Daphnia pulex: one gene and its partners. The protein of the gene in region 1 purifies or fractionates together with the protein of each later gene. This does not show direct contact. Links are inferred from orthologs where the notes say so. Each region holds a gene or a part of one and is shown in the gene's direction. Other genes may lie near its edges. The genes, in order: valine--tRNA ligase-like, elongation factor 1-delta-like, elongation factor 1-gamma-like and elongation factor 1-beta-like.

What was found.
Region 2: the proteins of valine--tRNA ligase-like (region 1) and elongation factor 1-delta-like purify together in Homo sapiens (affinity purification with mass spectrometry; 5 studies listed by BioGRID and IntAct, counting the BioPlex papers as one, with this or other methods). This does not show direct contact. The link is inferred for Daphnia pulex from reciprocal best matches to the Homo sapiens genes VARS1 and EEF1D.
Region 3: the proteins of valine--tRNA ligase-like (region 1) and elongation factor 1-gamma-like purify together in Homo sapiens (affinity purification with mass spectrometry; 6 studies listed by BioGRID and IntAct, counting the BioPlex papers as one, with this or other methods). This does not show direct contact. The link is inferred for Daphnia pulex from reciprocal best matches to the Homo sapiens genes VARS1 and EEF1G.
Region 4: the proteins of valine--tRNA ligase-like (region 1) and elongation factor 1-beta-like fractionate together in Homo sapiens (co-fractionation; 3 studies listed by BioGRID, with this or other methods). This does not show direct contact. The link is inferred for Daphnia pulex from reciprocal best matches to the Homo sapiens genes VARS1 and EEF1B2.

The regions. Positions count from the first base shown.
Region 1 is NC_060025.1:7,154,612-7,161,555, forward strand, and holds the end of valine--tRNA ligase-like, read left to right. Parts: 5' UTR 1-49; intron 50-257; 5' UTR 258-303; coding exon 304-508; intron 509-580; coding exon 581-711; intron 712-772; coding exon 773-964; intron 965-1,041; coding exon 1,042-1,630; intron 1,631-1,695; coding exon 1,696-2,351; intron 2,352-2,412; coding exon 2,413-3,141; intron 3,142-3,285; coding exon 3,286-3,435; intron 3,436-3,505; coding exon 3,506-3,671; intron 3,672-3,735; coding exon 3,736-3,929; intron 3,930-3,989; coding exon 3,990-4,355; 3' UTR 4,356-4,433; downstream 4,434-6,944. Other genes in the region: short-chain dehydrogenase/reductase family 16C member 6-like, read right to left, coding at 5,651-5,747, 5,830-5,946, 6,012-6,064, 6,124-6,153, 6,231-6,392, 6,458-6,568, 6,630-6,754, 6,837-6,944. UniProt on the Homo sapiens protein: Catalyzes the attachment of valine to tRNA(Val).
Region 2 is NC_060024.1:3,940,080-3,948,062, forward strand, and holds elongation factor 1-delta-like, read left to right. Parts: upstream 1-3,325; 5' UTR 3,326-3,467; intron 3,468-3,535; 5' UTR 3,536-3,542; coding exon 3,543-3,647; intron 3,648-3,706; coding exon 3,707-3,787; intron 3,788-3,844; coding exon 3,845-4,193; intron 4,194-4,259; coding exon 4,260-4,385; intron 4,386-4,449; coding exon 4,450-4,604; 3' UTR 4,605-4,691; downstream 4,692-7,983. Other genes in the region: signal transducing adapter molecule 1-like, read right to left, coding at 4,880-5,322, 5,404-5,709, 5,771-5,953, 6,024-6,087, 6,149-6,397, 6,462-6,622, 6,749-6,791.
Region 3 is NC_060020.1:8,825,739-8,834,457, forward strand, and holds elongation factor 1-gamma-like, read left to right. Parts: upstream 1-4,407; 5' UTR 4,408-4,690; coding exon 4,691-4,702; intron 4,703-4,810; coding exon 4,811-4,960; intron 4,961-5,026; coding exon 5,027-5,090; intron 5,091-5,153; coding exon 5,154-5,296; intron 5,297-5,373; coding exon 5,374-5,671; exon of another isoform or gene 5,672-5,726; coding exon 5,727-6,086; exon of another isoform or gene 6,087-6,160; coding exon 6,161-6,285; exon of another isoform or gene 6,286-6,312; intron 6,313-6,384; exon of another isoform or gene 6,385-6,448; coding exon 6,449-6,604; 3' UTR 6,605-6,670; downstream 6,671-8,719. Other genes in the region: intraflagellar transport protein 46 homolog, read right to left, coding at 875-973; uncharacterized protein LOC124193185, read right to left, coding at 1,717-1,797, 2,154-2,470, 2,548-2,586, 2,748-3,014, 3,075-3,382, 3,602-3,818, 3,894-3,990. UniProt on the Homo sapiens protein: Probably plays a role in anchoring the complex to other cellular components.
Region 4 is NC_060021.1:6,591,047-6,598,793, reverse strand, and holds elongation factor 1-beta-like, read left to right. Parts: upstream 1-2,915; 5' UTR 2,916-3,037; coding exon 3,038-3,117; intron 3,118-3,234; coding exon 3,235-3,454; intron 3,455-3,512; coding exon 3,513-3,702; intron 3,703-3,762; coding exon 3,763-3,917; 3' UTR 3,918-4,036; downstream 4,037-7,747. Other genes in the region: heat shock protein 60A-like, read left to right, coding at 91-258, 327-662, 721-1,079, 1,140-1,485, 1,544-2,065; DNA-directed RNA polymerase III subunit RPC1-like, read right to left, coding at 5,134-5,343, 5,407-5,575, 5,641-5,825, 5,885-6,035, 6,105-6,223, 6,278-6,407, 6,480-6,770, 6,834-7,136 and 2 more. UniProt on the Homo sapiens protein: Catalytic subunit of the guanine nucleotide exchange factor (GEF) (eEF1B subcomplex) of the eukaryotic elongation factor 1 complex (eEF1).

The DNA.
Region 1 (6,944 bases):
TTCCTTCATTCCCCGAAATTCTTCAGATTCTAATAATATAGCAGTGCAGGTAATCAAGGCTAGGGTACTTTTAGTTTTCCCTAAAATTTGGTTGGAGTCCTTGTATGCAACTAATAGTTGTAAATGATAACATTCAACACATTCCTTTTCACCTTGTTGCATCATGCATTTATTTGATATTGAGTGATTGGGACTTCATGTTACAGTGATCTTACAGCCATTCAACCATCAGTCTATAAAAGTATTTCTTACAACAGGTATTTAGGATCACAAGTGCCTTTCAGTTTTCGAGAAACAATCAACATGGAAGAAGTGCAAGTAACAGCAAGCAATGAAAGTGGAGCTGAAGCTCTACCAGCGAAAACCCCAAAGCAGTTAAAAAAAGAAGCTGAAAAAGCAGCAAAATTGGAAAAATTCAAGGCCAAGAAGGAAAAGTTGACAGAAACTAAAGCATCTGAGAAACCCAAAAAGGACGTCCCAGTCAAACCAAAAGCAGCTGATATTGAAAGTATACATGTTCGAATTTGACAACCCACATAGAAATTTAACTATGGTTTTCTTATTTGTTCTTTTTCAATAGTTCCACAACTTCCACCTGGTCAGAAGAAAGATACCACCTGTCCAATGCCAGAGTCTTACAGTCCACGCTATGTGGAAGCCTGCTGGTATTCATGGTGGGAGAAGGAAGGATATTTTGCACCAGAGTACAATGTAGTATTATTATTCTATTAAGTTAATTTAAATGAACTAAACTTCATCTGTGCATTGATAGAGAGATATCAAGGCACCAAATCCCAATGGTCAGTTTGTCATGGTTATCCCTCCGCCAAACGTAACAGGATCTCTCCACTTGGGTCACGCTCTGACCAATTCCGTCGAGGACACCATAACACGGTACCACAGGATGACTGGAAAGACAACTTTGTGGGTGCCTGGATGTGATCATGCTGGCATTGCCACTCAGGTAATTAGAAATCTAATTTTTCAATCCCGAAAACAGAGGTAAAACTAATCAATCACTTACTATTTGTAAATACAAAGGTGGTCGTTGAGAAAAAACTTTGGCGTGAGGAAAAAATTAATCGTCATGATCTGGGACGTGAAAAGTTCATCGAAAAAGTGTGGGAATGGAAAAATGAAAAGGGCCATCGGATTTACGAGCAGTTGAAGAAAATGGGATCGTCACTAGATTGGAATCGAGCATCCTTCACGATGGACCCAAAATTGTGCAAAGCTGTTCTTGAAGCTTTTGTCACGATGCATCAAGACGGCACGATTTATCGATCCACCCGTTTAGTCAACTGGTCTTGCACGCTCAAATCCGCTATATCCGACATTGAGGTCGACAAGGTTGAGCTTCCAGGTCGCACACAGCTTTCGGTCCCCGGCTACAAGGAAAAGATCGAATTTGGCGTCATTGTTTCCTTCGCCTACAAAATCGATGGGTCCGATGAAGAAATTGTTGTTGCCACCACTCGTGTGGAAACCATGTTGGGCGATACGGGTATTGCTGTACATCCGCAAGATCCGCGCTATACCCATCTGGTGGGTAAATATGCCCTGCATCCCTTCTGCCAACGTAAGCTACTCATTGTAGCTGACGACTATGTCGACAAGGATTTCGGAACAGGTAATTTTATTACAAGCCTCGCCTCGACTGAGTTTACAGGAAATTAATACTTTGCATATTTCTAGGTGCTGTCAAGATTACACCTGCTCATGATCCTAACGATTACGACCTGGGTAAGAGACATAATCTTGCCATGATTACGATCTTCAGCGATGATGGGCAGATCATTGGAGATTGCGGCCAATTCACCGGTATGAAGCGTTTCGACGCACGCAAAGCCGTCCTTGAGGCGTTGGAGCAAGTTGGACAGTACCGCGGTACGGCAGATAATCCTATGGTGGTTCCTGTCTGCTCTCGTTCCAAGGACATTGTGGAACCCATGATCAAGCCTCAGTGGTATGTCAAATGCGACCAAATGGCAGCTGATGCAGCTGAAGCTGTCCGATCTGGGAAGCTCAAAGTCGTGCCGGAGATGCACCAGAAAACGTGGTTCAGCTGGATGGACAACATCCGAGACTGGTGTATTTCTCGACAGCTTTGGTGGGGTCACCGTATCCCAGCCTACTTCGTCACCATAGACGAGCCATCCGCCAAAGTAGGAGACGAAGCTGACAATGAGTTCTGGGTGTCTGGGCGTACAGAAGCCGAAGCCAGAACTAACGCTGCTAAGCGGTTCAACGTTCCCGAAGAAAAAATCATTCTCAAACAGGATCAAGATGTTCTTGATACTTGGTTTTCATCTGCTCTTTTCCCATTCTCCGTGTTTGGTTGGCCTGACAAGGTTCGTTTGTTTTCTAGTAATATGACACAGAACAACTCAATAATTTCTTTTCTAATTTCAGACGGATGAACTGGACGTGTTTTTCCCAACTACTTTGTTAGAAACAGGCCATGATATTCTCTTCTTTTGGGTTGCAAGAATGGTGTTTTTTGGACAGAAGCTGATGGGAAAACTTCCCTTCTCTGAAGTGTATCTTCACGCCATGGTCCGCGACGCCCATGGTCGCAAAATGTCAAAATCATTGGGCAACGTCATCGATCCTCTTGATGTCATTTACGGAATCAGCCTCGAAGGACTCATGGCTCAGTTGGATGGCAGCAATCTCGATCCAGCTGAAGTTGGAAGAGCCAAAGAGGGTCAGAAGCAAGACTACCCACAAGGCATACCCGAATGTGGAACGGATGCTCTGCGCTTCGCTTTGTGCCAGTACACTGCACAGGGCAGAGATATCAACTTGGATGTCAAACGTGTTCAAGGATACCGATTTTTCTGCAACAAGCTTTGGAACGCCACCCGATTTGCTTTGACCTATCTTCAGGGTTCCGAAATTCAGACACTAAACGAGGCAAGTAATCGTCCAATGATTTCCCGTCCGTCCATCACTCCGGCTTTTCTTGCCGGTCTGAATGCTCGGCTCGAACACGTTTCCTATTTCAGCGGTTGTCAGTACTCTGCTGAAGACGATCTAGTCTGGCGGCAACTGGATGCCGGGCTGGGACAAAGGAAGATCCCGTCAAGTTATCCTCACTTGGAGAGATGGTTCCAACATATCGGCCGCTTGAGGAAGCAGGCAAGAGATGATACCTTGCACGTTGCAACCTCTATCTTGCATCTTATTTTAGTTGACCCACACCCCATCCGCTCCTGGCACGAGCATGCATTGATTGACTTAGTTTTACATGTCAGTTATTTATTAAAATTGTTTTTCTTATAGGTTCAACTAAGTTTGATGGATAAATGGATCTTGAGCTGCCTGTCCACTGCCGTTTCGGCCTGTAATGCGGGATTTCAACAATACGATTTCCCCCGTGCCACCAGCGCAATTTACAACTTTTTCCTTTATGAATTGTGCGACGTTTACCTGGTGAGATATTCTTCAGTTGTGTATTACCAAACCGAATTGTTTAACTGATATATATTCATTTGTTTTACAGGAAGCTGTCAAACCTGTTTTCCAAGGTTCAGACGAGTCTGCAAAGTCTGCGGCTCGTTCGGTTCTCGTCACTTGTATCGACACCGGACTCAAGTTAATCTCGCCGTTTATGCCGTTCATTTCGGAAGAGCTGTGGCAGCGACTACCCCGCCCTGAATCCGTGCAGAGTAAGTTATTTAAAAATGTTGTTTTTAAACAATTCACATGATTATCTGTTACTCTATTCAATAGAAACTCTCCCGCCGAGTATTTGTATCGCTCCTTACCCGACTGACGCCGAGTTTCAAGTCTGGAAAGATGAAGAATTGGAAGAAAACGTGAAATTGGTTAGCCGAATCGTGTCCAGCGTTCGGTCTGTCCGAGCCAGCTACATGCTACCAAACAAGACGAAAACTAAGTTGGTTTTAAGATGTTCGGATCAAGAGGTAATTTAGTTCAACCATTGGTTATATGCTCTACTTAACCATTTGATTGGATTCTGACAGGTGGTTGACATGCTTACTCATTTCACGGGCAATATTTCCACGTTGTCCTTCTGTCAACCCGTTTCCGTCTCGACAGACGGAGGTAACACACGTGGCTGTGCTATTGTAACCGTTTCAGACAAGTGTGACGCCATCGTTCATTTGGAGGGTCTGATTGACGTGCAAAAAGAAAAGACACGCATCACTGGCCTAGTGGAGAAGAAACGCCAACAATTGGACAAGCTCCAAGAAGGCATGGTAGTTCCAAACTATACAGAAAAAGTCCCTCTCACTGTTCAGGAGACCAACAAGGAGAAAGAGGTTGAACTTGAAACCGAGTTGCAGCAACTTGACGCCGCCTTCGCAACTCTTTCCACTATGGATTAAATTTGGATAATTTGGGATTTGGGGGCCGTTGTTGCAATCAATGTGTAGGGAATCAATACACATTTGAAGCACTTCTAACGTCTTTTTTAGATTTTTATTCCTATAAAGCAATTGGGTTTTGTTTACTAAGCAATAATTACAGGATCATTGTTTGAAACCATCTGTGACTCTTTTTAGTTCTTATTAGTATCTTGACTCGATTTTAGTTGCTGAATCAAAATAGTAAGGTGAAGACGCAGCGTGGGCAATGCCAACAAGAATTAGGATATTATTACAATATCGTTTGTGATCAAAGGAGAAATAGAGAGTCAAAGGGGGCGGGCTCAAAGTATATTCACAGGCTCGCGCGCTCACTCACATTTTTTAAATTTAGAGTTCCATCATCTTCAGTAATTGGGCCTTTTTATTCTTACTAATCCAGCCGCATCTTTCCATGTGACACTTAACGAAATCCAACAAAGAAAAAGTAGACAAACACACACACGGCCACACGGGGCGCGAGTCATTCGACGGTGAAACCCTTTCCAATAAGGAGACCACAGAGAAATAATAATTAACAAGTAAACAAGGGCAGAATATACGCACACAATCCATTCGCATAGGTTTTGTTTTTTCCTTCCTAGGAAAATAATAGAGCATTGTTTCTTAAATTTTTTTTTGTTTTTGTAAATCCTGGACATTTTGTATAAAAAACGGAGAAGCCAGAAGAGATTGAAAAAAGGGTTTTTTGCAATCCGGGAATCAAGTTGAGGTAGTCATCCGATTCCAGGGTAAATTTGGGGTAAATTTAGTGATTTTCTTGATCGATGAATTTTCTTGAAATGTTTGGTCGGTGGGATGTAATTCTAATCTCTCTCTCTCAATTTTCTAGCAACTTCGAATGTGTACTGAACAGTCCACGCCGCAATTCATGAACGGATATTTCCGACATTCTAATACAGAATTGAAGAGATTATACAAATACTCAAAACGACCTAAGTTCGTTTTACCAAATGTGTGGAATGAAATCTCTCAGAGGCATCCAATTTATACTAAAAGAATAAACAAGTTTAATCTTATGTTTTTATGCATAACTTGTGATTCTCGGTGAACGTCGTAATAAATTCAATTACAGCAGGGCAACATTATGTTAGGACAAGAAAGTCATAGAAGTACGCAGATAATTATAGTAACGGTGTATTTGCATTTTTATTAAAGGAAAAAAATTAAGGAAATACGATTAACGGTACAAAAGAAAAGATCTTTCCACATAATATCCGTATAACCGTTATCACTAATTTCGTGCAATTTAATTTTCAGTTGTGTTTTGGTTTGGCAACTTCAAAATTGTTCATCATTTCACCCAGTCCCAAAGCGCGGTGAGAAGCAATTTGAGCTTTCACCGGTAAAAATCTGTGACAAAAATAGGATAAAATCATTGCAATGAATTTTCTGGAGAAGAACCACAAATCGAATTAGCGTTTATCAGATTTACCTTTTTAAAATCATTAAACAAGAGATATAGCGCGGAACGACGCACATTTCTTCGTCTGTTAAAATGGAATTGATAGCTGCTTGCGCTACGTCCTCCGGTTCCAAAGCGGGTAAAAACCTTGATTTGAAAAAATTGTTCTTTTTATTCATGTGCATTGAATGCGTGATTTTAATGCTCAGTACTTTGATTTGGCTCCCGCGAAAAGTGGAGTATTGACGAGATACGGACATACAACCTATAAATTCAATTCACCGTGAAAACATTTTCGATATCCAACAAGAAAAAAGGTTATACCGTCGTTTTGATTCCTTTCCGTCCATCAATCTATGAGACATAAATTTTTGGAAAAATAAGTATACAGTGCAACATTAAAATGAAAAATGATGAACCAAAAAGCTTACAGCCAGTTCCGTCCGGAGCGATTCGTCGAAACCGACAGCTGCGAATTTGGAAGAACAGTAATCCACCAATCGGTCACTTCCGGTTAGACCAGCTAAACTGGCGACGGTAACAATATGACCCATATCTTGCATGATCATATCAGGTAGGAAACTTTTGACAGTCTGAATAAAAAATGTCAAAAATAAGTCACGAAAAGTATTTGCATCCACAATAATAAATAACTAACCCAAAAATGAGCTAGAACGTTAACGTCAAAAGTCCGCTGAATCTGTTCGTCCGAGCAATCGAGAAGAACTTTACCCGAAACTACACCAGCGTTATTCACCAAAATAGAAACCTTATCAAAAATAATTATTAAAATAAAATCTGTAACGTTTCTGTAATTTCTGCAATGTTACCTTTCCGACTTCTCGTTTTACCCGCTGGGCCATTTGGTAAACCTCTTCACGTTTACTCAAGTCAACTTGATAGGCAAAAGCTTGTCCTTTCGACATGTGAATCAATCGAACGGTCTCCTCATTCGCTATGAAATTGTAAGTAACAAGAATGAAAAATTAAAATCCACTTTAGTGACGATTACGTTATAGTTATGCAAATCACATTACCTTGCTTGGCTACATCCCAGCACACAACTTTACATCCCTCGTTCGATAGACCAATGGCCAACAGTCGACCAATTCCGCCACCGGCCCCGGTGACAAGGGCAATTTGTC
Region 2 (7,983 bases), on another chromosome or scaffold:
TTCCTCTCGGGCATTTCGCCTTTCAGGGGAGAAACCAACCGAGGCACTCTCCAAGCCGTCCAAATCAACTTTCATCCGGAAGCCTTTAGCAACATCTCCAGCGAGGCCACTGATTTAGTGAAGAAATTGTTGGTCTTCAAAGCCGATGGCCGTTTCACTCTCAAGGAGGTACGTTGATAAACTGCATTAAAAAAGCCCCCCCCCCCTTAATCGTGGAGCCCCAAGAAATGAAGGTAATGAAGGTAAGTAAGAGTCGGAAATGCTCAGCCAGTACTACCTGTAGTAAGGGGACGACCCCTGACCCCGTTGCCACCCTCCTCTTGGGGGGAGGCGCGTGGTCCGGCTCATGTTGTGGATCAGCCAACCGTACCGGCTCGTGTTGCGGATCAGCCGCCTGACCCAGATCGTGTTGTGGATCAGCCTGTCCCAATGCCGCCTTTTTTGGATTCAGATGATTCTTCCAGAGATGGAGATGTCGTCGGTAATTAATTTCAACGGTTTTTTGCTGCTCAAGAAGCCAACTTTATTAATCGACGAGCTCGTATCATGGCGAGATTTCAACAAAACCGCCGTCTACTCCTAGATGTCGATTCCGAAGATGAAGATAATTTGGCGGATGGAGAAGCAGCGGATAGAAACCTGGAAGTTCCCATTCAACTATTTCCCGAAGTAAATCACGAGGGTCTCTGCCCAGTGTGTTGGCTCCAAGTGCCTAACACAGTTATCACACCTTGCAGACACATTTTCTGCTTTATGTGTGTGGAAACATTTGAGTTGTCTAGGGCAACTAGATGCCTAGTCTGCCGCTCACGTTTCAATGGACATAGACCCGTGCCAGAAAATGATCGGAATGCCACTAATGTCCTATTGCATTTGGGTAATCAACCCTAGTTGAACAATTTCCATATCTGCTTCGACCAACCTGATGATCTAGACTACTGAATTATTTATTGCGTTTGATTGGATTAGTCGTGTAAAATTGCCTACTCTCTCATAAGAGGGGTTTGCTAATAGCCTACTAAACAAATGTTTACCTATAGCCAAACAGTTATATTTTCCCACAGGCAGTGCTTCCACTTCTAAAAAACAGGCGCCTCTAGAAGTTGCCAGATCAGGGGGAAAAACCCTAAAAACAAAATGAAAAATCCCCAGAAATATCCCTAAACACATTTTTTACTTTTTACCCAAAAATTCTTTAAAATCCCTGTAAATCGAGTAAATCCCCTTAAATTTCTACAAAACCAATTTTCACGCTGAAAATTTTCTATAACGCATGAAATTCTCTGTAATATTCAATTTAAAGACAAGTGTTACAATACAGAAAATTAAACAGAAAGGTTACAGATTAAAGACATTATTTCAGTTCTTTTTCGTGATAAAAAGAAGAGAAATCGGAATGGTAAAATACAAAGCTATCACGAGGTCAAAGGTATAAGTCAGTTTTTTTTTAATTCGGCATAAACATTGATTGGTACATTTGCTTCGTTTTTTTTCACAGCAGCAATTATGTCCTTTTTGATCACAGCAGTGCTTGCTGTTGCCATGGCAGATAGCCTTCTCTGTCTAGAGTGCCTAGACTAGACTTTCAATTTACAATTGACTAGATTAAATATGACGCGAAAAATCTTCCTACCTTAACCCGTTCTGTAGTTATACACCTTCAAAGTACTCTATTTTGCATGGAGCTCTATATTGAGTGTTCCCAAACTTTGGTATCCATTTTAAACCTACCCTTCCCTTGATAGGAAAAATCTGAAAAAAAATTCAGCTTAATGCTATCCATAATGGCTACGACCAAAAAAAAATTCGTCGTAATCCGACGAAAATTTCATTTTTGGGAACACCGAGAAAAAACGCCTTTCCCCATAAGGTTCTCTCTCGCGCACTCGCGCGTTCCCAAACTTTAGGTAGGTAGGCTACTGTTGGTATACCTCTAAATATATTTACTTATGACAATTTTTATTTGTGGCAAATAAGATATTTGAATTTTTTTACTTATGAGCAGAAAAATATTTTTTAAACTTATAAACGGAGTTACTTATGGGGATCCGTCATTCTGTCATGATCCCTTTCGTACTATTCGGGTGTATTGGTGTCGTTGTGTAGCAGCAGCGTTTAATAAATTGGATTCTATTTGATTTCCGTCGTGCCGTATATTTATATAGCGGATTTTTTTTTCGTAATCAGTTATGTGTAACACGGGTCAAAGAAAATTAAATAAAAATTATATATTTGTTATATTTTTATATCCATTTTACATAATGCGTTTGACATGTTATTCCTTATTCGGCCGTTATTCGGTGTGCTATGGTATGATGGTAGGCCTATGTCCAGCAGCAACGCCTAATATAATGACTATATAATCCTATTATTTCTTATTTTTTGAAATCATTCTCAATTCCAAATTCATAATAGTATCGTTGGTTATATTCAAATTCAAAGTCTTATTTCGTAGCGATCCCGATAACAACGGCCGCGACGATAATGTTCAAAGAGTAAAGAGTGGAATCCTTTCTTCAGCGGGGTCCTGATCCGTTGCTGCTCGATTTTGGAGAAACCGCATTGGTTTGCCGTGATGACCTTGCCGCTGGTCCGGTTCAAGCGGCAGCCGAAAACCAGGTCGTGGAACGTGTAGGTGAACAAGTGTTGAAGGAAGCGAACCCAGCCGTACTCGAAGTCGCCGGATGTGCTCCCATTCCAGTAGATATATTTGCCACCCTATATGCAATAAACATTTAATTGTAATTTAATATCATTCATAGTATATACGCTGAATCATCGCATTAACTTTTAAATTATCTTTGTGAAATTTCAAATTTGCAATAAAAAAAAAGATATTTTGCTAATTTTTTTTTAAACCTTCGGTTACATTTTTCAGGACCCAATCGCGGCTAAAACCTTGGACGGAACACGGAACGTATGTTTGATGCGACCAAGGAAGGCCCCACATGCCACATGCAAAAATCAGGTTTCTTGAGTACCGTACGGAAGACAAGGAAGCCCCCGGAAATTATGGACTTCTAGATCAGACACTGGCGATTATGCTGGTACCGGTATCCATGCCGATTATCTATGCTGTAGCAGAGTAATCCAGGAAGACTCTGGCTGTAGCCGCTGTAGCTGTAGTCTGTACGTATACACCATGTTTCAGTTTGAGTAATAACAATTTTCGCGGGCAATTTTCGCTTTATATATCTGCACTGTATTGTATATTTTAATAATTTTTTTTTTTTTTAAATATTACTGATTAATTGAAATGTTGAACCCTGTTGTCAATCATTTTTTAAATTAGAAAAGCAGAAAGATACAAATACAACTCTCAATAAAAAATTACAGCTTGGCATCGTTGTTTTCCTGCCTCAACGTGGAGCTCATTCTGCTCACCTAACTGCTCACTGCTCACTGTTCTGCTCAGCTGTCACCCCTCTTGGTTACTGAACGTTCGATCTTGCTCCATTGTATAACAGGTGACTAGAAATCAAAGAAGAAAATGTTTCGTTTATTCATTTATATGCCTTATTTTCGTATATTTTAGATTAAAAATGGTGAACAGCGCTGTAAATGAAGCATTGTCTCGCGAAACAGTCTGGTATGAGAAGTTTCGTTATGAAGATGCGGAACGTCAGTTCCAAGAAATCTTGGCAAAGGTATGTTAATTTTACCTTTTAGTTGAATATTTCTTAAATGTTTGAATCATCAAATTCAGGGTTCAACAGGACCAGCATCCTGTTCAGTTGTTGCTGAAATAATGAAAGCCAGGGATCAGATTAAAAGCTCACTTGCTGCTGTAAGTTCAACTATTTTTAACATGGTAATAGAAAATTGAAATTGATTTCATGTACAGGTTGAGGATTTACCTTCCTCTGGTTCTGCCATTCCATCTAATGTGACCAGTCGACTCCAACAACTGGAGCAGGAAAATAAAGATTTGAAAAAAGTTACCGATGATCTCCGTTCATTGGTGCTGAGTTTGGAGTCCAGGGTCAAGAGTTTGGAAAGCTCGAAACCTGGAGCAGCAGTTCAAGCACCAAAACCTAGTGCTCCTCAACCAGCACCTCCAGCTAAAGCAGCAGCAAAACCTGATGATGATGACGATGATGATGTTGATCTGTTTGGATCTGATGAAGAAGATGAGGATGCTGAAAGAATCAAACAGGAACGTGTTGCAGCATATGCTGCTAAAAAATCTACAAGTAATAGAATTGTCCATTTCATAATAATTGTATCTTACTACATTTATTTTTCATATTCCCTAACAGAACCTGCTCTGATTGCCAAATCCAACATCATTTTGGATGTTAAACCGTGGGATGACGAAACCGATATGGCTGAAATGGAGCGTCGTGTGCGTGAAATTACGTCCGATGGCCTCCTTTGGGGCACTTGTAAGTCAAATTAGTCAGTTTCGACACTATCCTCTGCAATGTTTAACTTTTATTTAATTTGCAGCCAAGTTGGTTCCACTGGCATATGGAATCAAGAAACTCCAGATTTCCACAGTCGTCGAAGATGATAAAGTGTCTGTTGACTGGCTGACTGAAACTATCCAAGAAATTGAAGATTTAGTCCAGTCTGTTGATATTGCTGCCTTTAACAAGATTTAAATTGTTTCAAGCAACATCACTGAGAAATCTGCAATTACTATTGCGTAACTTGTGGAAATAAAAAATAACAGCTTTAAGGGCATCAAACGGAAAGTTCTGCGAAATTTATTGTTTTAACCAACGTAGAGTAACTAAATGAGGTTGTAGGTAAAGGATGATGAAATTGTAAGACATTTAACAACCGAAACGTTGGAAGAATTGAACTCTAAGGAGAAAGGGGGTTACAACAAGGAGAATGAAATTGTAACTGTACAATTGCGCAGCTAGAATACAAATTAGAAATTCTGAGGATGGCCAGAATATGGGTTAACAAAAGGTTGTTGGCCCATATTAACCACTCCATAAGGCATTGGATTGGGGACTTGATTAGGAGGAAATGTAGCAGAATGGCTAACAGGTGGAGCAAATGGAGCTAAAGAAGGACTCTGTGGAGGTGCTTGAGGTTGAGGAAAAGGGTACTTCATGTTCCCGGATACATTCATGCCTCCGACAGGCCCAATGGGTGCAACGTTTGCGCCAGGATATTGGTAGCCAGGGACAGACATTCCCATGTTCATATTTGGATGGGTTTGGGGAGGCGCCGGCATTTCTCGCATAAGACTTCGATACATGTCCAGTGATTCAATCAAATGACTACCCAACTTGGTTAAGTGGGCGTGACGACGATCAAGTTTCTCCAGTTCAGCATCAATTAATGGGCCCATAGCGCCACATTGATCTATGAAAACCAAATATTTAGATAAACATTTTCACAACATCAGAACTTTGGTTTATATTGAAACTATAGAAATAATTATACCTTCTAGCATTTTCAACTCTTCCGGATCGTTGCGTTCCCCTGTAGGATCTGCTTCGTGAAGAGCATGAAGCATTCGATCAATTTTAGCTTCATCGATTTCGACTTCTGCTTCACTGCTGGCCGTCTCTTCGAGAGTGGCCACTACAACTTGCTCGTTAAACTGGACTCGCTTAGACGTGTCTCTTGCCACCATCACTTCTGGTTCAGCTTCCAAATCAGTCGACACGAAATTAGCCGGGAAAAGACCTTCTCCTCTTTGATTGGACCCCTTCCACCAATTAGGGTCTGAATCATCGATTACGTGAACTAAAAAGATTATGTTTAATTAGTCAGCAATACGGTTAAGTAAAAATATATTCAAAATTACTGATCTCCCCAGCTTTGAATGTCAACTCGTTATCTTCAGCAGCCTCAAAATCATATAATGCACGCACTTTACGTCGCTCCCGTTCTTTCACAGGTGAAATTGGGGCTGATGTCGTCATCGATGGATACAAGGACGAAGAAACTTTTGTGGTCACTTCTGCCTCTTTCAGTGACAGTGCAATTGCTACATAAAATATAAAATAGGATCAAATTATTGTTTAAGGTTCAAATTATTGTGAATTAAATTGGAATACCCTTTGCAATATCCTCCTCTTCTCTGGCTGCCACATCTTTATTGTTTACAACTGTTTTCTTAACCTGATAATTAAATCAAATTATTAATATCTTATAAAACTAACTAACCATGTAGTGCACTCACTGGTTCAGTTGTCTCTGTAAAATCAACACCTTCCTGCCTCAAACGATTATATAAAGCAGGTATAAGACTGAGTTGAGAATCGGTTTTGAAATCACCCTCTGCCCACTTCTTTAAACACTGTTTTAATTGGGAAGCTACTTGGGGGTGTAATTTATTTTTGATAAGCTTGTACAACTCTTGTTCGGAATCTCTTGACGCTATCTCTAAATGGAATGGTTTATGGCAGTTGCTCACACAGGCATCCAAAAGCTAAAAATTATTGAAAAATTAATTACCACATATTGAGAAATATATTTAAAAAAAAAAGCTTTACTTTGACAGCCTGCTTGGCAACATGTGGATTTTGATGATACAATCGTTTGATAATGGCTCTCAAACAATCTTTAGGTCCAGTAGTTATCGCTTTTACTTTGTCACAGACATCAAGAATTGTTTCCCAATTCTCACTCATATTCTTTTCATCGGTTGCCTTTTCTATAAGGGGTAAAGAATCGTGAGTAAAATTTCGATGAGGATGAAGCAATGCAAGAATACCAAATGAGGTATTCATTCAATTGCTTGTCCTATTTCTCAAATAACGTAAGTAAACGATGGCCTTACCGACATCCAGATCAAATGGCGAACTACCAGAAAAGATACCCATGGTAAAAATGACACTGTATTACTCGTACTGTGGGATAAACAATGAATAAGTAAAATAGGAAAACACGGAAATCGACTGATGAGTAATAAAGCAGAGATAATAAACCAGCAGCGCAAATCAAGTTAAGACGGATCTGTCATCCGGAGTGTCTTGGCGTTGCAAAGTTCCACCGCCAGGTGACTCTTTCCTCGATTGTTTTTTTGTTAGAAGAAAAAGTGAGAATTTACAAATTTTGAATGCAGATGGCTTTGTAAAATTTTGACCCCATGGTCGGCTCTCCTTAGTCGACATAAAAAGTCCAAAAGTCAGTTCGTCGTGCTTATTTACTAAGAAGCAGTCCTCTTGCTTTATTATAAGCCTTACACACTTGTACGTTCGCGGTGTTGATTTATCGGAACGTCTATTATCTTGGGTGAGTACACAAATTATGTCCTCTTGGCCCTTATGTCGGCTGCGCGATAATCATATGATTCCGTGGCGATAACAGTCGTTAATTGAGTGTATTTATTTCATTGATGGGTCCGTGGTCATTGACCTAACGATCTCTCGTGTTGAAGATGTGTGCCCCTGTGACCCCTCGACTCAAATGAGCAATTTTACCAACACCAAACCAGAGAAAGAATTCCGACAAGTTTAGCGCAGTTTTGGTCTGTAGTATATGTTAATTTAAAAAAGACGAAAAATTACATTTGAACGAAACCAGAAGGGTGGTCGAGAACCCGCTGTGCTCCACCGCGAGCGCATGTCGTCCTTGAGATTGAAAACTTGAAGTCTCCTCCTCCCCTGCTGAAGAAGAAAACAACACAAGAACAGCAGGACGGATAATACATATACTCTCTCAAGGTCGAACTCATTTTCGCCCTCGGGCAACCGATCGTAGTTGGATTTCTTTTTGCGCGGGTTCAAATTCGTGAGCGCGCGTCAGTTTGAAAATACGTTCAAAACCATTTTTGGCAATTTTCTTGGTAAAGATTAGAATATCCAGGACAAATACGGTAAATCAGGGTTTAGCGACAAATGAATTGGCACAGGTCAATATTTTTCATCAGAAGCCACTTGGAAATTACCGTATTTTTAAAAAAAGGTCATCGACCCTTGTTGCCCTTAAGAGGGGAAACCTGCAAATCGTGATGGATGCAATCATGGCGATGACCTCGCCAAGTTCCCCCCATGAAACAAAGAAGCGAAAAAA
Region 3 (8,719 bases), on another chromosome or scaffold:
TAAAAAACCAAGAAAATAGCATTTTTCCCTACTTTAAATTTTTATCTATCAGAGATTAAAATTTAAAATTTTGGCCTTTAGACATTGTGTAGATGATACCGGATGATACGCTAACACAATATAGCATTTAAATTTTCAAATTTATTGTATGAATTTTATGGGTCGCGCAATTTAATTTAATTAATAACCAATCGCCTATCCGCTATCCCGTTACAGGAGAAATTGATGTTACATGATTTAATTGCATTTAATTTTGTTTCAGTAAAAAAAAAATGTATAATTTTTTTAACTTAAAAAATGTTGGAGGGGGGAAGACGAGGGCATTGAAACAGTTTTATTAGTCTTCTTTCCATGCAAATTGATAAAAAAAATGTGTTCTTAATTTGATTGCCGGCTTAGTTATGACCAATTTGATGGAAGGTTCATTTAGCCGGTTTCCCACGCGTAATTCAGTTTTGTATGCGTCAGTCTCTATACGCTTCTAAAATTATGTTGTGAATAAAGACCTTGAAAAAAATTATCGATTAAAAAATGTTCTACTTAAAGTGAAAACGCTATTTGACTATACCAAATTCACTAAACAGCCACGAATAAAACATTTACAAATTCAGCGTTTAAATTAAAAGATAAAATAAAATATTTCTGTATGAGCTTAGCCGCCTAGCGTTGCAAGCGAAGTTAAAAGCAAAACAAAAAAGAAGCGCATAATAGCAGTTAAACATAAACTTATTTAAACATAAGCTTAAACGTATTTGAAATTGTTTATCCAGAAACGAAAACGCAAACATCAAGTTTAAATAAATATAAAACACACGGCCGCGGTTATAGTTAAATAGGTAGATTAACGTTTGAAGAAAGATAGCGAATATTTTACCGTTTGTGATTGATGTTCATCATCACTCCATTCTTCCATTTCTAGGGCTTGTTCTTCTTCGGCATTTGTCCCGTCTTTAAGCAATTCCACTTCAGACATCGTGTTATGGGTGAACTTGAACAATAAATGAAATCAAAATAATATTAGCTTTTTAGGGGCCCGGCTTGTTATGCTTAGATCACCATGACAACGTTTGGAAAGTTACATAAAACAATAAAACTGGGTTTTCAGTTGGTAACACACCCGCTTGGCGACATGGAGATCGTTTTGGTTTTGTTGGACGCTCAGTTTAACGTGATGCGTTAAAGATTGCACCTTCATATTTTATTTCAAATCTAAAATGCATCGATATTTCCTCCTAGAGGATTCGTAATTGTTCCAAAAGATGTTTTAGAAGTTATGCAGTTTTCGGGATCAACAGATCCTTGAAACTTCACTACTGACATTTTTGTTTTATTTGGAAATTATAGCGATGTTGATGTTTTTATTTTTATATTTTTAGTAAATGATAATTCGTTGCCTCCTATTATTATTCCTACTACAGTTAACCTAGAAGGTAAAGATTGCAACACTAATTATCCTTTATTTTTATTTGATTTAAAATCTTCACTTAATAAAATTTACGCAACGTAATTATTATTATTGGGACTTGACAACTTGATTACTTTTAGTACAGACTCTAGCCAATTGTAAGAATCAAACCCGAGAGACTCACGAAAATAATATTGAAGTTATAAAGGAATGTAATAAACCGAAGAAAAGCAACATTACATGGAGTAAACAATAATCATACGGTCGATTGTTAGTTGTTTAGTGCAGGTTTTGTTGCAGAAATTTCCTTCTCAACTCGAATTTCCGTAATAACGGGTAGGATGACAGGTTTGGCCTCCACTCTGTGTATTCACTAGACGATTATTTTGCGCCTGAAAATATAAATGGAATGAGTACTCTCCATGAATAAACGAGTAAAAATTACTTATATATTAAATGTTGTTGGAGAGGTAATTCGAAACAGTTCTAAATTGACAACCCAGCTGCCTGTAATACCAATCGAAATCAAATGTTTGATCTCAGCTTTCGTACATCAAATAAATTAAAATTTAGAATACAATCCCCGACACACTGATCATTATATATAATGCAAATCAATTTTATTGACTGGCTCATTGTAAATGACATAAATCAAGATCAATCGATTCGATTTGGTCATTATTAAGCTGGAAACAGACTCGATCATTTAAACACATGGCGAACAGACGGGGAATTTATTTTCACTTACATTGGAAGCAGGTATAGCAGAGTGATAGCCAGCTGAGGTCGGAGGTCGTAACGGGTTTCCTGTTATGATGCTACCGCTCTTCGATGCATGGTTTTGCTGCTGAATAGGAATTCCAGAAGGATGTGAGGCACCAGGTAACGAAATTGGAGTTAACAACCCAGTATGAGGCCGCAACCCTCCTGCCGAAACAGAATTGACATTCGTGGATACATTTGGACTAGAACCAAGAGAAGGAGAAATGAAAATCTTCTCTTGTTCGGTAGTTCCGTAAGCATTAGAATTTTTGTTTATCATATGTTCAATTGGCTGGTGATATCCTTGAATTGCATTTAAAAAAATAACAAACAGAAATTTAAATATTTGAAAAGAAAAAAAAAAAATAATTATTTTAAACCTTGATTCAAAGATGGGCCAGAATTTCTTGTTGGGATGCCTACAAATAAGTACAATAAAAATTTTCAGTAATCTCTTAAGTTATAATTCCAGAAATTATCAACATTAATTTTTCTTCTTCTTCTTGTTATCGCATGAATTACTTGAATAGCGTAATTTGCATTAAAATAAAAAAATTAGAATTGATCCATAAAAACTTACTTCTTTGAGCATTCTGAGATAGCACATTTCCTTGTCCTACATAAACAGTTGCATGGTGCTTACCATCATCTTTCGATGATGCGGGAGTCTGAACAGAATATGTTGGGCGAGAAGAACCCGAGTGGTTGGGATAGCTGTACATGGATCCTGGAGGAAGTTGGTAACCAGCACTGGCTGCGCTATGGGCAGCACTTACAGAAACTGAGTGAGTGTAAAAGATGCTGCCTGGAACTGCAGGGCTCCCTCCATAGGGACTACCTATACTCTCTAGAAAAGAAAGTAAACAATAAATAAATCAGTATAGTGCTCACCAAGAATGATTTATACTTGAATTGTATGGGGAAAGGGCTGGTGGCTTGTAAGAATGATACAGCTGTGGTGGTGGTGGGGATGGACTACGAGGTCTCTTCTGATTTGTTTGACTTTGATGTCCAAGAGAAGGAACCATATTGATTGCTTGTCCATAAAGTGATGAAGGAGGCACTCCTTGCAAATTCAAAATGCTTTCTTCCTTCCCTCCATTAAATACTGGCCTTGAAGCCCCAAGATTAGGATGCATGTACACAGAACCATGGGTGTTTGGATGCACTAATGGAGCTCCAGATGGATAGGGATGAAACAGCATCATATCACTGCTAATGAAAAATATTTGAGTTTCTAATCTAATTCATATGGACAAAAATTTCATAGGATATTGATCACTCTTGATATGAACACTGGTAGGGAAAATTTTACCAAATTAAACTTTTAGTGTCCATTTACTATTTACACACTTCCTAGGATATTTCAGCATGAATATTGTCTTCTTATTCTATGCTAAGAATGAATTTTAAAAGAAAAAATAGATAGCATACTTGAAACTGGATTCTTTGATTTTTCTTCTCGTATCATCCTCATTTAGAACTTTTTTGAGTTGCAGAAATAATTGATGCTTATCCTCTTTCAGTTGAGAAAGCCTGGATTCTGACTGAGCAACTTGTTCCTTAGTTTCTTCTAAAGTCATCTCTTGTTCTTTTTGCTGATCTTCTCTTTCTCTTCGCTGTCGCTCGACCTCAGCATCAGCTTCTTGTTCTGTTTAAGAGTAAATGAGTTACAGAGCACAATTGAAACATTAACACAATTATTGTGGAGCTTCATCATAACAACCTTGCTTTTTCCTTTGTCTCTCTCTGATTATGTGTGATTTTAATGAATTCCACATAGGTCTGCTGAGTTTCGGCTTTTCTAAAACAATGGCGGGCATTTTGTTTACTTTCTACACTAACGCTCCGACTTCAGATGAATGCACTGAGTTAATTATTTGAAAATATTTGAATTGTTTGGTTTGAAGTCCTTTCTTGACTCGCGTAAAACTGTTCTTTTTAACACAGTTTGAGCTTGATACACTTCTTGTCTTCGTGCTAAGTCCATGAAGTACCGACTACCGAAGTACCGAAGTACCACCGAGACCGAACTACCGAAGTACACCTTCCTGCTAAGTGCTGCTAAGACAGTTGATGCTTTCATGGATTCTCAGTTTCTCCCCAAAGATGTCGTGGCACGACCGGCAGCCTATAGAAGTCAGGTAGCCTTTGATCTCTAGAAGACAAGAAGAGCATGAGTAAACGTAAAAAAACCATAGTTCTGTTCCGTCGGTTCCAGGTCGGTCTAGCGGCGATTCTAGTGTCGCATTCTAGTGTTTGCATTTTAAAGTTCTAGCTCTATTCCGTTTTAAGTATCCACTTTCCACCTCCACATTCCACTTCCACATTCCACATTCCACTTTCCACATCCTAACTGCAACTCTGCAAGAGTGGCCCGCAAGGCAGACCAACAAAGGGCTGCGCGCTTAACAGCGTTGCCATGTAGAAATTTTCAACTATTCTCACGTTTGAGCTCGTTCTCTCTTGCAGCAGACTTCTTCTTGGTTCCACGTCAGGTTCTCGTCCCTGCATTTGATCATCATGGCTTCTGGAGTAAGTACGATCTGTGTTTGAATCTAAGAAATTCCGTGACATCTTCTTGTGTTTTAAAGCGTGATTCTGTTGTCCAATATCTAATTAATCGGGTTTTTTTAATTTTAGACTTTGTACACTTACCCAAGCAACTTCAGGGCCAATAAGGCTTTGATTGCTGCTCAATACTCTGGTTTCAAAATAAATGTCGCTTCCAACTTCGTCTTCGGCGAGACCAACAAGAGTGAAACTTTTTTGAAGAAATTTCCGTTGGGAAAGGTAATTTTCTTTATGCGGTTCATTTTCATGGTGGAAAGTTTTAAGTCTATGTGATTGTATTGATAGGTTCCAGCTTTTGAATCCCAAGATGGGCAGTGCATTGCTGAGAGCAATGCAATTGCATATTTCGGTAAATATTACTACTAAAATAGTATTCCTCTGGAATTGAGATGTAATGAGTGTTATTGAACAGTTGCCAACCAGCAGCTTCGAGGAAACAGTGACGTGGAAAAGGCCCAAGTCCTTCAGTGGATGTCATTTGCCGACAGTGAAATTCTTCCACTGTCCTGTACTATTGTTTTCCCTGTCCTTGGAATCATTCAGTACAACAAACAAGTATGTTTCTTATTTTAGTTTATTTGTGCAAAGCTAATTTTATATGTACAATGTTAATTGGTGTATTGTTTGTATAGGCTGTTGAACATGCTAAAGAAGAATTGAAGGCTATTTTGTCTGTCGTCAACAACCACCTTCTTACACGCACCTTTTTGGTTGGAGAGAAAATAACTCTTGCAGATATTGTTCTTTCTAGCAATCTTCTCCACCTTTATGAGAGCATTTGTGATGAAACTAACAGGAAGCCTTATCAAAATTTGAATAGATGGTTTATTACTTGTGTTAACCAACCACAATTCAAAGCCATCATTGGAGACTTTAAGATATGCCAGAAAGAGTGTCCAGTTGATCCCAAGAAGTTTGCTGAATTTCAGAGTAAGAAAATTCTAAACATTTAATTCATTGCCATTTTTATCCAATGTGTCAACAGGTAAAATAACTGGATCTCTGAAAAAGGAAGAAAAGAAATCTGTCAAGGATGAAAAGAAGAAAGAGAAAAAAGAAGAGAAACCAAAGCCAAAGAAGGAAGAGCCAGAAGAGGCTGAGGAAATGGATGCAGCTGATGCAGCCCTATTAGAGGAACCCAAGTCCAAGGATCCATTTGATGAAATGCCCAAAGGAACATTCAACATGGATGATTTCAAAAGATTTTATTCTAACAATGAAGAGTCAAAATCCATCCCTTATTTCTGGGACAAATTCGACAAGGAAAATTATTCTATCTGGTTTGGAGAGTACAAATACTCTGATGAACTTACCAAAGTCTTCATGTCTTGCAATTTAATCTCTGGTATATTCCACAATTTTTTTTTTTTTTTTTTGTTTTCAAAGAAGAAATCCCATAATATTCACATTTTTTAATAGGCATGTATCAACGTTTGGATAAAATGAGGAAACAATGCTTTGCATCCATGTGCTTATTTGGAACAGACAATGATTGTACCATTTCAGGAATTTGGGTGTGGCGTGGGCAAGATTTAGCTTTCCAGGTAAGATGGTTTACAATGATGTTACCTCTTTCAAAGACACAAATATTTTTTGTTTTCGATATTTTGTGTAACAAGTAGAGGGAAAGTAATAAGACTTACCTGTTTTTAAGCTTAGCTTTGCTTGAAGTAATGGATCTAAGTTTTAACAATATTTTTTGTTTAGTTGTGTCCTGATTGGCAGATTGACTACGAGACATACGACTGGAAGAAATTGAACCCTGATTCAGATGAAACCAAGAAGATGGTGGCGGAGTATTTTGCCTGGTCCGGCACTGATAAAAATGGTCGTCCTTTCAACCAGGGAAAGATTTTCAAGTAGTTTGGTATCTATACTCGTGGAGTGTTGTATCACAACCATTATCAATACAACTGATGAGCTACTTGATATGTTGGAGTTCATTCAGACTTACATTAAATTGTTTTAGCTTGCTGATTTAAGAATATATTGCTTAATCCCCTCTTTGATTCTCCATTGGGGTCACAGACCATTTTATTACACTCCCCTTTGATGAGTTGCAAGTCACGCTCATGTTAATAACTTCAAAGCAGTATTTATACATCTCAAAGCGTTTTGAACAATAATTTGCGTGGTTTGGTATACCAATTATCAAACAAAATTTAGAATTTGTTATGAACGAGAAAATGGTGCACAAAAGCTTTTTACAAAAAAAGGCGGATTAACATACAACAGAGCACCAGGTTCTCCGACTTTCCAAGCTGATGGATCGATTTCACAGGCGAAATAGGAATAATCAACAGTAGTGCCTCTAGTGCTCGATTACACCAACAATTTGGCTAACTATTTTATACTCAAGTGATCCAAGCTCTAAGCCCAGCTACAAAGTGTTTATTGGTTCGCTTGGTCATTAAGACGAGCTGTGATCATGTTGACAAACCCTAACGTTTTTACCATAATATTTTTTAATTTCCTTTTTATCTATAAAATTATTCATACGATTCAGCATTCTTAACTGCATGATATAACAAAATTCCCACCGTGAAGGGTAATTTGTGACACTTAAAAGAAAAACCTATCATACAGATCAGCCTGAAAACGCCTGTAAAATACGGAACGCCAAATAGAATTGGCTAACGTCCGAAGTTGCCAATTCGACTTGGACGAATGATCGATTGGACGGTTACGGTTGACGTCCAATTTTTGGATTTTGGACGTCAACCGTCCAATCGTCAACGTCCAACGAACTGGCAACTTCGGACGTTAACCAACTCTATGATCCCCTATAATTATACTAGTGCCAGAGCTGCTAGTGCTATTTATTTTAGAAATCAATTGAACATGGTGTATTATTATTATTTTTCCCCTCTTTTCACCCTTTTCGTCTTTCGCCTTTGGGCCCTAAGGGCAAAAGAGGGGATATAGGCAGCACGAAAAAGGGGGAAAAAGAGCAAAATAGGGTCTTTGGCTCTTTGCATGAAATTTAAATTTGTTTAAAACATACTTGGTTAGAATCAGTTTTTTACGCTGATTCTCATGGTATTTTTTAAATATTTTTAAAATGAACCTATCTATGTGTATTTCTAATTCAAAGTTCAAATAAGCGCCTCCCATTTCAAAACGGGCCCTCAGCCATTTTTTAGGGGCGGAGCTTAATTTCTGATAAATTTGTAGACGACGCTCACCAACATCACCAAAATCACCCTTGAGAAATCGGAAGTCCAAAAAGGACTTTTTTTGCCAATCAATAATTAGAAAGCTATACATTGCTTTAAATTGGCATTTTTAAAATTAATCGGGCATTATCTTGTTTATTTAATGGCAAAAGCCTCTAATTTTTAAGTATTATAGTTTAATGGAAAAACTTAATTTTGTCACGGCCGCTTAGCCATAAGGCACCATGTAAACCACGGCTGCCGCGCGGCTGAAAAAAATTTGACCGTCTGTCACTATTAATTTCATAAATAATCTATTTTACACGTGATGTTGAATTGTTGATGAAAATTTGATAACTTATAAAGTAAAAGACGTGAACACGAGGAAATTTTTTAAACAATTTTTTTATAATTAGAAGTACCATATTTTTTCGAAAATAAAAAAAATTTAATATAAAATGTTTTTTTAACAGAAATATTTAATATTTTCACGGAGGGTTTTGGATGTAACATCTTAAACACTACAATAATAAAGCTCATTTAAAAAATTTCATGTTGAATTTTGTTCGAGGTTAAAAATTAATTACCCTCGACTATACAGAAATGTTCGACACACCAGCACGGATTTGATAGAGGTGGATGGTCTAGTCTTTTATGGGAATAAATTGGTTTTTCCGGTATCCTTGAGCGAGGCCATGGAATGCGTCTTTTTTGGACATTTTTGTGAAGTAAAATGTGTCAGGCGGGCCAAGTCGTCCGTATACTAGTCGTCCGACCACATCCGTAACATGTTGCCCAGCTGCTCCACCTGTCAGTAGAACTG
Region 4 (7,747 bases), on another chromosome or scaffold:
TTTTTTTCTGTTAAAAGTTACCAGTACATAGCGTTAGCAGCGTGTTATCCATTATCTAACAGATCTGTAACTTTTTTTATTACTTTAGAGATGTATCGCCTACCAAGTCTTCTGAGAACAGCAGCTCTTCGCCAGATCGCTCCTCAAGCATACAGAAATTATGCTAAAGATGTTCGATTTGGAGCTGATGTACGAGCCTTAATGTTGCAGGGAGTAGATGTTCTTGCTGATGCAGTTGCTGTAACCATGGGTCCCAAGGTAATTTCAAAATTAGATTTGCACTTCAATTCGGACTACCACTTACAATTTGTTGCTTCTATTTACAGGGACGTAATGTTATTCTAGAACAATCATGGGGCTCACCTAAAATCACTAAGGATGGTGTTACTGTAGCAAAGGGTATCGAATTGAAAGACAAATTCCAAAACATTGGGGCCAAGTTAGTTCAAGACGTAGCAAATAATACAAATGAATCTGCTGGTGACGGAACAACTGCTGCAACAGTCTTGGCTCGCTCCATTGCTAAGGAAGGATTTGAAAAGATAACAAAAGGTGCCAATCCTGTTGAAGTTCGTCGTGGTGTCATGCTTGCTGTTGATGCTGTTATTGAAAACTTGAGAGCCATGTCCAAACAGGTTACTACTCCAGAAGAAATTGCTCAGGTAACTAATGAGACAATTCATTTTTGAATTAATGTTAACTGGAATTCCTTTCGTTCAGGTTGCTACCATTTCTGCTAATGGTGATGAATCAGTTGGTAAACTGATTTCTCAAGCAATGAACAAAGTTGGACGAGAGGGAGTCATTACTGTCAAAGATGGAAAAACTTTGATTGATGAACTTGAAGTCATCGAAGGCATGAAATTCGACCGTGGTTACATTTCACCCTACTTTATTAACACAGCAAAGGGCGCTAAAGTAGAATATCAAGATGCGTTGGTCTTGTTGAGTGAGAAGAAGATTTCTTCCATTCAATCCATCATTCCTGCTTTGGAACTCGCCAATCAACACCGCAAACCCCTAGTCATTATTGCGGAAGACATCGATGGCGAAGCTCTTAGCACTCTTGTTGTTAACAGGTAAAAGTTTCTTACCTACATTTTTTAAAGAAATTGTAAATTAACGAAAGTGTTTTTCAGACTGAAGATTGGACTCCAGGTAGTTGCAGTTAAAGCCCCAGGATTTGGCGACAACCGCAAAAATACGCTTCACGATATGGCCAATGCTACAGGTGGCTTGGTCTTTGGTGATGAAGCAAATCTCGTCAAGCTCGAAGATATTCAGCTGCACGACTTTGGTCAGGTTGGAGAAGTGGTTGTTACTAAAGACGACACTCTGTTGTTGAGAGGTAAAGGCCGCAAAGAAGACATCGCCCAGCGTGTTACCCAAATCAAGGATCAAATTGCCGAAACAACATCAGAATACGAAAAGGAGAAGCTGCAGGAAAGGTTAGCCAAACTCGCCTCTGGAGTTGCTGTCCTTAAGGTATAATATTCTCTCAATAAAGCTCCACGGGTCATTTTCTAATGTTTTAATTCTTTAGATTGGTGGATCAAGCGAAGTTGAAGTGAACGAGAAAAAGGATCGTGTTAACGATGCACTCTGCGCCACCCGAGCTGCCGTTGAGGAGGGTATCGTTCCTGGTGGCGGAACTGCTCTACTTCGCTGTATTCCTATTTTGGACAAGCTGTCCTATGCAAATGAAGATCAAAAAGTTGGCATCGACATTATTCGTCGCGCTTTGAGGATGCCTTGCATGACTATTGCTAAAAACGCTGGAGTTGATGCTTCCGTCGTCGTCTCTAAAGTTATGGACTCTGAAGCTTCCATTGGTTATGATGCCCTCCGAAATGAGTACGTCAACATGATTGAACGCGGTATTATTGACCCTACTAAAGTTGTCCGAACATCTCTTACTGATGCCGCTGGAGTTGCATCCCTCCTCACAACAGCAGAATGTGTTGTTTGTGAAATCCCCAAAGAAGAGAAGGCCGATGGCGGCATGGGAGGAATGGGCGGAATGGGAGGCATGGGTGGTATGGGAGGTATGGGCGGAATGATGTAACGTCCCAAATCCAAGTCAATTTCTGTTCCAACCTTTCATGTTACTTACCTTCTTGATTGTAGTGGTGTTGTCAAGTTGTATAGCGGTAATTTTGGAGATTTTCATTCCTCTTGTTTGACATCCCAGTTTATGTAATCATGTTACTGCTGTTCAATCTTGAGTCATTCATCGATCTGGAAGGCACAATTATCAGCTCTACAGCGTAGTATTGGACACGTATGAATCACTCGTGATAGGAGACACTACTGTCGTTTTTTTTTCGTAGTAAATCATTATAAAGTCTTACTTTCTAAAAAAAAAAAAAAAAATACATGAACAGTTTTTTGTAAAACCTTCTATGTTTTTGAAAGAGAAGGAAGGTAAAGGGTATAGTTTGGGTTGAATCATCTGGAATTCATCGATAAAAAATTGCTAAATAAATTGCAATGAACGTAAAAGTTAACAACTGACGTTTATTCGGTTAAATTTTGAAACAAATTACATAAAATATTTCTAGTGTAGTTGGATAAAATAACCAATCTCAGGACAAGGACTTTACTAACAAATGGTCGTTTTTCAATTAAAATAAAACAAGCCCTTCCTAAAGGGTATCATAAAATGACCTTAAGAATTCAGATTAAAATTGATGCAGTCATTAAGTTTTGCGCAAGCACAACGAATTGAAAATGCACATTGCTCATAGAAAATATGATTTCATTCCAAATCAGTAATGAAATTTCTGAATTAAAAATTAATTGTTATAGCTTTAAAAGTGCATTAAACTTTAACGTGTCCTTGAATTTTCCCGTAAAAATTCGCATTTCCCTTCCCTTTTACTGCCTGGGGGATTTAGGACGACGGTGGACAAACGAACTAAAATATTTAGCTATCTGGCAACACGTAACCGTCTCTCTTTGGTGTCTGCCATTGCCGAATCGCGTGTCAATTTCTACCCTCAGTCGGTTTCTTCCTTTCAGACCTGATAAAATAATCATGGCTTTCGGCGATCTTAAAACTGAAAATGGTGTTAAGGCCCTTAACGAATTCCTAGCCGATAGAAGTTACATTGAAGGGTAAGTTTTTCACTTTATTTTAAGTATGTGTTGCCGGGTACAATAGAACTGTTTCTTGAGCATGCTTTCCGTTTCGTTATATCTAAAAATATGTCGATGTTATATTCTTGTGTATAGATATGAACCGTCTCAGGCGGACGTGACCACCTTCCAAGCTTTAGGAAAGGCCCCTGCCAGCAGCTTCCCACATGCTCTCCGCTGGTACAACCACATTAAATCATTTGGGTCTGAAACCAGCAAATTCCCAGGTGCCAAATCTGCTGCTGCAGCCCCAGCCAGCAAACCAGCCGATGATGATGATGATGATGTTGACTTGTTTGGATCTGATGACGAAGAGGTACTAACCATAGGCAAATCCCTCAGTTAATGAGTATTAACAGAAATTTCCGCTGTAGGATGAGGCTGCTGAGAAGATCAAGGCAGAAAGAATTAAAGCCTACAGTGAAAAGAAATCCAAGAAACCTGCGCTTATTCCCAAGTCCTCAATTGTCCTAGATGTTAAACCCTGGGATGATGAGACAGACATGGAAGCCATGGAGAAAGCTGTAAAAACCATCACATGTGATGGTCTTATTTGGGGACAGTGTAAGTATTTTCAATGAAACACATTTTTTACAGCCAATTAAAACTGTATTGTTTATTCAGGTAAATTTGTACCATTGGCATATGGTATCAAGAAGCTCCAAATCGGATGCGTCATTGAAGATGACAAAGTTTCTGTTGACTGGCTTACAGAGGAAATTCAGAACTTCGAAGATTTGGTCCAATCAGTCGATATTGCCGCTTTCAATAAAATTTAAATAAAATCATTGTGTCGGAGCTGAGCCGGCTCGTGTTATCAGATATTTTGAATGCTAATCGTGCAAAGTGCCTGGCTCCACAATTACTGGCTGATTGAAATAAACATGCTGGGTTGTTACTCATAGTACACTTCATTTGCCATCATATTATGAATAGATTCCGTAATGCTCAAGCCTAGTTCATGTGGTTAAAGGGAATGTCGATTACACGAAAGAAGAATTCTTAGTTAGCTTTAAACCTTTTAATTAAGTCAGGGGTATGGAGAGAAATTCTCTCCATATCCCTGATAAAGAGTTTAAGACGTGTTCATCAGCTCAGCTGTTTTAAAAAGAGAAGTTAAGTTACAGAAACTTGGCAACAGTGTTGTGTTTACATGCTTCGTGATGTAGTCTCGACCAAAAATGTGTTTAGTTCTTCAGTGTCGTACTAACGTACTACATGAAAATTTAGTGAGTTCATCTGTTAGATAAGTTGTGCCTGAAATGTTTCATCATAAGAAAAGGGAGTTTTGAGAGAAGGTAGGGAAGTTTATGTAACTCTTGTTTCTTGTAGGCTATGTTTATTGGCCAAGGATTATTTTTAAATTTATGACTGAGACACAAAATTGTAGTGATTAGTATGCTAAAATTACGACTAAAGAAAGGTAAAGGTGCCACAATTGGTTGTGATTATTTGGATTATTTTTTAAATTTAGTGACTGACAACTCACATGTGGCATTAATAGTCATTTTAAAAAATCAGGACTTTAAAGTTTTTATGTTTGAATTTGATTTTAGCATGAGGATTCTCAAACTTTCTGTTAGTATTATTTATTAGTAGTTTATACTAGCAAATTAGCAATTACTAAAAAAAAATCTTTTTGCTTCAAGGAGTGAACTGCATACCAGTTAACCAGCAGCTTTGTGCTTAGGTTTAGCATGTACCACCTTATTACAAATTTTGGATGTGTTTTGAAGCTACTGACCAATAACTCAAAATTTGTTGATCAAATTATGTTGACATACTGCTGCCAATATTAAAATTAAGATTCTACAGACACTAGATAAAAAATAACTGCAATTTAAAAGTTCAGTGTATTTTAACTGAGAATACCGTTTGAAATATCTGCGTAATCCGCATGTCACCACAACAATTTCAATTTTGAAAGATAAAATATGCAAACTTGTTTTTGACTTGCTCCCTTGGATCGCATTCGTACACTCTCATGACTCGCATTTAAAGCATTGGTACATGGTATTCTGGTAAATCAAAAATAAGTGGTCTTGTTTTAGGTGGAACCGATTTTCCGGTTTTGTACAGCAATTTAAAAGCCCCAGTCCCGATTGACATTGGTATTCCCATGATGATGCATTCGCTTACTCCCGTAATCTCATCTTCCTGCCCGTAGTATGATGCATCAAATAGATGATCCGAGGTCCTTTCGAACTAGCAATCAAATAGTAATATTGGAATGATAAAATATATTGTATTTATTTGTGTTTTTCTTACCGAAGCTAACATCAGAACCGACTCTTTCATTTTTGCCAATCCATGTCTCGTGATGCCCAAAATTTCACCACGGCAACTCATCAAATCTGAAAGAAGAGCAACGTGCCGGCGATCGACACTCATGCCGTGGCTTTCCATTGTGTATTGAATTTCCTTGGCAATAGTCGCCCTGTATTAATTAAACAATAAATAAATAAGTTTTTATCTAACAAATAAAGAAACAATTTAAATTACTTTGCAGCTTCAATTCCCAAGGTACTGTAGACTTCCAGAATATTGTTTGATGTAGTTGAGGTCCCTTTAACACCGTAGGTCGCCATCACTTCCCGCATGTTGTCACCTTCAACAAGTAGGTAATATCTTGGTGGTTTTCTTGTGTCGTCAATATTGATGACAGCTCGACTGACAGTTGGCAAACCCTGAAGTAATGGAAAATATTTATGCCTTACAATTGTAAATACGAATCTCGACCACGCACCTTGATGACGACTCTGGGTAACGTTTCCTTGAGATGTTGCATAACGTGATACATCGAAGATTTCGAAGATGGAGCAGGTTTGACGATAACGATGGTTTCACTTATGACTTTAATGAAACTAGGCTTTATTTTCAGCTTACATGTGCAGAGGCTGAAATTGGAACATTAACAATTAAATTAATTAAGAAATTTAAATAAAATGAAAAGATTATTAAATTGCCTCCACTGAATCGAATTTGCGTCCACTTCTAATTTAAGCAATCGGATCCTATTCATGTCCAATTTGATCAACATGAAACAATCATCGGGTAAGTAGACTTCCTCGAAATATTCTGTTACCTATAAAAATAAAATTGTTAAAGAAGTTAAAACCCTAAGATGTTCCATTTTTACTTCTCCCAGTGTGGTCTTTTCTATCCTTCCTTTTACTCGTCGAGCATACTCAGGGTCATCATCTTTTAAAAGCTGAGTAGAAATGACTGGCGTACTGATTGCTTTTGAAGCATTAATAATTTCCTTAATCCTGAAATAATTCCATCAAACGAAACTAGTGTCATTAAATGAATTCCAAAAATGGCACTGAATTGGAAAATACCTAGGAACTCCCTGTGTGATGTTCATGGAAGCAACACCAGCAAAATGAAATGTCTTGAGCGTCATTTGAGTACCCGGTTCTCCAATACTCTGGGCGCAAAGTGCTCCAACGGCGGTACCTGGCTCAATTTTAGCCCGTTCATACTTTTCCTTAGAAAAGTCGCAGAATTCCACTAACTGACCAACAGTTATGCGCTCCAGGTGTTTTTCTACTGTAAGTAAAGATCGACCTTCCATTTTGAAAAGCTGCCGTACTTTTTTGATCCGTTTGACTTGGCTCTCAACAAAAACCCTGTACAACAAACGCAACACATTATCATGAATATCAATTGAATTTAAAGAAAATAATAGTAACCGGAGCTCATGTTGAAAGTCAACTCCGAGCATTTTAAAAGAATCCGTGTCCATAATTGTGTTAAACGCTTGTTGCAGTTCAATATCATCCAAAGGTTCTTCATCCGGATAAGGGGAAGCGGCTTTGATATGGTCAAGAGCTCGCTGGAAATCAACAGGGCGATCTTTGGCTTCCATGTAAGTAGGATCTAGCCCATCACCTCCATAAACGAATTGAATAATCTCTCCAGTGGAGTTTCTCACAGTTGAATCGTACTGGCAACAAAGGTCTTCCAACGATTTAACTAGTCGCCGTTGCATGTAACTAAAAAAATACAAAATTTATAACATCATTGAAGTCATTCAGTGCCAATGTCGAATAACCTACCCAGTTTCAGCTGTTTTTACGGCTGTGTCCACCAATCCTTCACGCCCACCCATCGTGTGGAAGAAAAATTCTGTGGGAGTAAGTCCGGAGTAAAAGCTGTTGGAGACAAAACCTTTAGCAGCCGGGATTTTCGAATGTCGCTTGAAATGAGGCAAACTACGATCTTCAAAACCATTGGGCACTCGTTTGCCGTTTAAAGCTTGTTGTCCTACGCAGGCAATCATCTGAGAAATGTTGATGTATGATCCTTTTGAACCACTTTTAGACATGACCAATGGACTATTGCTCGGATGCAGCTCCTTTTTGCACACTTCTCCGGCCTGATCACGAATTCCAGACAGTTCTGTGTTTCAGAAGTAATAATCCAAAATATTAACATATAAGTAATAATTCTGTTCTGACTACTGTTATTTAACAAACCTTTCAAGATTTTTGATTCCAAGGATTCTTCTTCATTGCATCCTGGAAGGCAAGGCAGTTGACCTAAGGTGAGTAAACGAATGTATTCGTCGCACTTGGAATAACCAGTGTCCAAAAGTGTTTGTTTT